Kluyveromyces lactis: one gene and its partner. The protein of the gene in region 1 purifies or fractionates together with the protein of each later gene. This does not show direct contact. Links are inferred from orthologs where the notes say so. Each region holds a gene or a part of one and is shown in the gene's direction. Other genes may lie near its edges. The genes, in order: KTR3 and SVP26.

Evidence for each region.
Region 2: the proteins of KTR3 (region 1) and SVP26 purify together in Saccharomyces cerevisiae (affinity purification with western blotting; 5 studies listed by BioGRID). This does not show direct contact. The link is inferred for Kluyveromyces lactis from reciprocal best matches to the Saccharomyces cerevisiae genes KTR3 and SVP26.

What each region holds. Positions count from the first base shown.
Region 1 is NC_006041.1:2,047,145-2,050,356, reverse strand, and holds KTR3 (mannosyltransferase KTR3), read left to right. Parts: upstream 1-1,211; coding exon 1,212-2,444; downstream 2,445-3,212. Other genes in the region: SAY1 (steryl deacetylase), read left to right, coding at 1-638. UniProt on the Saccharomyces cerevisiae protein: Possible glycosyltransferase that transfers an alpha-D-mannosyl residue from GDP-mannose into lipid-linked oligosaccharide, forming an alpha-(1->2)-D-mannosyl-D-mannose linkage.
Region 2 is NC_006037.1:809,307-812,305, forward strand, and holds SVP26 (Svp26p), read left to right. Parts: upstream 1-1,660; coding exon 1,661-2,341; downstream 2,342-2,999. Other genes in the region: STB5 (Stb5p), read left to right, coding at 1-1,013; RGD3 (Rgd3p), read left to right, coding at 2,554-2,999. UniProt on the Saccharomyces cerevisiae protein: Plays a role in retention of a subset of membrane proteins in the early Golgi compartments. Facilitates endoplasmic reticulum to Golgi transport of mannosyltransferases MNN2 and MNN5.

The sequences.
Region 1 (3,212 bases):
GGACCGTAGGCAAAAAATTGGACGATGATGTTGCCATACTAGTATTAGATTACCCTGTAATGGCGAATTGCCCTGAGACGATTGACTATGTGTGGAAAGAGTACCTTGAGCTTACAGAGACGTTTACGGAAATAAATCTGATTGGCGATTCGTGCGGAGGAAATTTGATCTTAAACATCTTGTTGAAATGTCACGAAAATAAAATGACAATTCCAAAGCGCGCCATTGCAATATCTCCATGGTGCAACGTCTTAGACCGAGACTCTGTAGACGTTGAAAGGTTAAACGGCTACAACGTAGATATGCTATCGATGAAAGTTTTAACGGTTTTCCAAAATTCTTACATGCAAAACGTAGTTGATCCCAGTCAATACCTAAAGTATTTGAATTTCACATCGATTCCAAGGGAGACTTGGACTGAAATTCTCAGCGACACTAAATTGTTCATCACATATGGTGATCTAGAAATGTTCAAGAATCAAATCGAACTGTTCATCAACCACATCAGTCCCAATGAAAACTTGATTGCGGAAATTTTTCCGTGTGGGTCCCACATCGAGCCTTTAGTGCTAGGTTATCACCAGTCTTTGGATAAGTGGGCCAAATTTCTCAGTAAATCCGATGAAACGTCATTTTGACACATTAATGCGAGCCGTGAACTCTTTTAATTTATAATTCGCATATACAGAGGTGTACTTTTAAAAAATAAAAACAGGAGCTAAACAGTGAATTGGGACCGGATTCGGAATGTCCATTAGAAGCTCGAAATAAAACATAGTAGTTTCACTGTAAGAATCTATCTTCATTCCAGCTTTTCTCCACACTTTCGACGCTCTTTTTCCTTCTAGGTGTCGCTCTTCTTGATTTTTCACCGATGAAAAAAAAGTTTACAGAAGTATGTAAATAACACCTAATCCACACCTGTTCTAAGGATGTGTGTCATACAATTTAACGTGTTTCAAGTGTCTATTTACATCCTGAAGTCCCTTAAGCGGTTTCATTGCTACTTTATTCTGGGTTGTTAGAATATAGTTATTCAAGACGTTGAGATATACGTGGATATCATCTTTTAAAAACTTTGTTTCCATTCATATTTATTCCAAGTTTTGATTTGATTTGATTTAAGATATTCCGATTCACATTGTCTTGTACCTGTCACTGAATCAAAGAAAGGTAAGCACGGATCAAAGGTTAATCGAATTCAGTAAAAGATGCAGCCGAAGAAAAAGCTCATGCCAAAATCGGCATTTCTTGTGAAGAAATATGAGCGTCATATTAGATTGCTGTTCATTGCATTCATCACGGTTTTATGTTTCGTGTTCATTACACGTTCTGGTAATGGTAGCAGCGAAACGCCAGTGCTTCCACCAAAGACTGTCGAACCAGCAGTGTCGAGTCCTGGTGGTGCAAAAGATAAGTTCCTGAAGCCTCATACTGATAAGGTTCAGAACGTTTTTTACCCAGAAGATGATGGTGTTAGAGAAAAGGCCTGTATGGTCACCTTAGCAAGAAACAAAGATTTATGGCATTTGGTTACATCTGTGAGGGATGTTGAAGATAGATTCAACAAGAACTATCATTACGATTGGGTCTTTTTGAACGATGAACCGTTCAACGAGGAATTCAAAAGTGTTATGACAGCAATGGTCAGTGGTACCGCTAAATTTGGTGTGATTCCAAAGGAACACTGGTCCTTCCCAGACTGGATTGACCAGGATAAGGCGGCAGAAGTCAGAAAACAGATGAAAGAAGACGGTATCATTTACGGTGACTCCGTCTCTTACAGACATATGTGTAGATACGAATCCGGATTCTTCTGGAGACACGAGTTACTTGACGAGTATGAATGGTATTGGCGTGTGGAACCAGATATCAAGTTGTTCTGTGATATTCACTACGATGTTTTTAAGTTAATGAAGCAAAACAACAAGAAGTACGGGTTCATCTTATCCGTTAGCGAATACGAAAAAACGATTCCTACTTTATGGGAAACCACCAAAAATTTCATGAAGGAATACCCACAACACGTCAAGGAAAATAATTTGATGAAGTTTATCTCCAACGATGGTGGTAAGACTTATAACATGTGTCACTTCTGGTCTAACTTCGAAATCGCATCGCTAGAATTATGGAGATCCCCTGCCTACCGTGAGTACTTCGACTACTTGGACCGTTCCGGTGGGTTCTTCTACGAGAGATGGGGTGATGCTCCGATTCATTCCATTGCCGCTGCACTTTTCTTAGAACCAGAAGAATTCCATTTCTTCGACGGCATAGGATACTACCATCCAGGATTCACTTCATGTCCTGTGGAAGAAGCTATCAGATTACAAAACAGATGTACATGTGACCCAGGCGATGACCAAACTTGGGGTGACAGTTATTTCTGCACAAGAAAATACTTCGGTGCCCGTGGTTTGAAACTACCAAAGGAGGTCAGGTAATTCAATTGTACTAAAAAACAACCTGAAGACTAAACATTCTCCTGACACATTATATACTAACCTAAAAACAAAAGTTGATTTTAGAGGGCAACATTTGATACATATATAGAAACGTCTCCCATCTTCAATTCTATGCAATAGGCATGCACATACACAACATAAAAAAGAGTTAGCAGAGGTTAGTTGTCCAAAATCCGCGTATGTATGTATATGTACAAATATCTACTTGAACTATGCTTTCTGTACCTTACGTTTATTAGGTCCGAACCAGTTTCATTATGTCGTCATCACCAGATGAACCCTCGAAAAACATGCAAATCGTTTAACCACTTATCTAGTGTAGGCATAGTCAGAATCGACTACAAAGCCGTTTCACTACTGCGCTCCTCGCAATTCCTATCACCTACGACAGGTCTTCCTTCAAACTCACAATCATGTGACTAATCTCTTCTTTGCTTTCTTACTCGCGCATAGTTAGTTAATCCGCGAATGACGGGAATTTAAATATAGATAGACTGAAAAGAAGGTTTGCTTGAAACACCTTACACAGACAACATAAGTATTGTCTCGAAAGTAAAGTTTGTGGAAGAGACCCAGAGCTAAGGCGCCGAAGACCCAATAGGTTTATTGTAAAAGTGTGTTGAAAACATATTTCGCAGCAAGGAACGAAGACCTAGATTTTAAAACATCCGTTCGGGGATAGTTTTATCTTTTTTTTTATTTATTCACTTTGTTTGATTTGTATTTTCCTTCCATCCTTTCCATCCT
Region 2 (2,999 bases), on another chromosome or scaffold:
TCAAGTGCTTATTACTATTGGGTATATATTCATTCTTCGAACCGAAGGGTGTTTCCTCTTGGACCATCAGTGGATTGATAATGAGACTATGCATTGGATTTGGTTTGAACCGTGCATTAACACCTAAGAAATTGAAAACGATGTCAGTTATTGATGTAGAGATGAGATACAGAGCTTTTTGGGCATTCTATTCGTTCGAACGTCTAGTTGCGACATCCTTGGGTAGAATATCCTGCCTATCCGACGATGATATTAGCGTTCCACCACCAAGAGCTTTATTTGAAGAAGAGAAGGACGATATAGAAGTCACCAACATGATGATAAGTTTAAGAAGAATCGGAGGGCGCATTTACAGGAAAGTGCATAGCGTCGGAGCTGCAAGAAGAAAGCTTAATGCAGAAGAAAAGAAAAATGTGATAGATAAGTTACGCCAGGAATTGGATGAGTTGTACAAATTAGAGACTTTTAAGATTCACAGCGCCAAACAAGAAACAAACAATATAACGTTCCACCATTCAGATACATGGCTCTCCATGAGGTATTACCAACTACAGATCATGATTTATAGACCAAGTGCTTTGATACCAAAACCCGCGATGGATTCTCTAACTATTCTGGGGGATGCATGTCTCAAATCCTTGAAATACACCTATAACTTATACCAGAAAAAGTTATTACCGTTAAATTGGATCACTTTGTTCCGTGTACTCACTATATGCAACACTATGCTCTATTGCTTATGCCAATGGTCCATCGATATCATTGAATCCAAGATCGAAATACACCAATGTATTGAAGTGCTTCGACACTTTGGTGCCAAATGGGTATTTGCAGCCAAATGCGCTGAAATTTTTTCAAGCATCATCAATACGATCTTGGATATCAGTTTGTCCAACGGTAGAGTACCCAACATGGATAAATTGACCAGAGAACTATTTGGCGCCAGTAACGAATACCAAGAGATCTTGGATGAGAATAATGTCGATATTTCTTGGGTGGATAGTATCGTCTGAGGGGTGGTACGGTGGTATATAAAGATATAATAAAAAAGTGTGTATCTGATTAATGAATGTATTGATGTAAGTTTGCCATTGTGGTGGTAAAAGCAGAGAAAGCAGCAAAGAGCAGTATATGGTTAGTGAGCATGTGTGGTCTAATGATGCCATGATATATGGAGCACTTACATTTTAACCGCCTGTAAAGATGCCTCCTTAGCTTAGTGGTAGAGCGTTGCACTTGTAATGCAAAGGTCGCTAGTTCAATTCTGGCAGGTGGCATTTATCTTTTTTATTACTATAATTTAATCAATTATAACTATAATTCCTCACTGTACAAGAAACGCACTCAATTTTTTGAGTATTCACTACGCTAAACAACACATTACCTGCCCATTGGATACTGTGACCCCACTAACCACTCCTTCAGGCCAGCCACTTAGCTTAGAACTGTGCCACTCCTCTCTTTATTCTAAGACTAACACATGATCGCTGTATCCGGGTAAGACGTCTTTTCTCAACTTTCTACTAACAAAAAACCAAGATTCAATTTGAGCAACGGTACTAAACATGTAGGATACGACACATTTGGGGAAATTACAGGTCTATATATCTGTATAGTGGTCCCATAGAAGGTCAATTAAGCCGCTGGTTCAAATCTGAAAATGATCATTCAACTTTTATCCTATGCGGGTACCGTCCTGGGGTTTATTTTCCTGACGTTATCCACAGCATCAGGATTGTATTATCTCAGTGAGTTAGTGGAAGAATACACTGAACCCACAAGAAGGTTGCTATATCGAGCAATATACACTATAATCGGAATTTACGTGCTACTTCTATTATTCGATGGATTCCCATGGCTGCTAACGGCTTTTTCTATCTTTACCTACGTGGTATATCTACAGAATATGAAACATTTCCCATATATCTCGTTGACGAACCCTACGTTAATGTTGAGTTGCGTACTAGTTCTTATAAATCATTACTTGTGGTTTAAATACTTCAATGATGTTGATATCCCACCTCAATTCAGGTTTGACCCTAACTATGTGCCAAGAAGACGTGCGTCTTTCGCGGAAGTGGCATCATTCTTTGGAATTTGTGTATGGTTTATTCCATTTGCATTGTTCGTGTCGTTATCCGCTGGAGAAAATGTGCTACCTACACACATTGAAAGGAAAAAGAACGAGGATGGCGATGGTGCCGAGAGTTCTAGAGGTGTGAGAAGAAGAGCTAAGGGTTTAGCCAAGATCGTCATCGATTACATTAGAGAATACTTCTATTCCATAGGCAAACTATTTGGATTGAAGGATAGCAAGAAAGATGAAGGGTTGTTGCTTTGATAATATATATACACGTGTAATAAACCGTACATACTTGCATTCATAGTAGATGCATGGCAATGCCCTGATGTGTTGTCAATCTATTGAAATCTTTCAAGAGTATTCGCTGAAAAAAGTCGATGACTTGCTTATTTAAGATACATTGGATACTATTTACGAAACACGAACAACATTCCTCTCTGTAAGTGGTAGGCATCCCACACACCAAAGTAATGGATTTAAGGTACACTTTTTGGAGCCCCGTAAGCACCGTGAGTGTTAATTCGTTATACGATGCGATTACACAAGATATACAATCGATAATGCGGCTTTCACAGTTCTTGAATCATTTGAATAATGTGTGGAACGCATCGCTGCTGTCGATGAAAAAGGCACCAGACCCTAAAGTAACTATAGTGGGGGAACAAGTGGTTGAGAAGATTACTGAGAGTTTGAAGTCGTACAAGGTTGATACCACAAGTTTAGATCACTTGCTGAAACGGTATGAATCTTTACTAGGACAATGTAAAGAGAATAAGGGGAGGGATGCAAGCCTGATCAAGGAATTGAAACAATGGAAAACGTTGAAATTAGAGATTCAAGACCAATCAGTGGTATATGACAAGGATAAAGATGACCATCATTGCCCTGTTGCTGGAGGAATACTGCAATTTCCAAG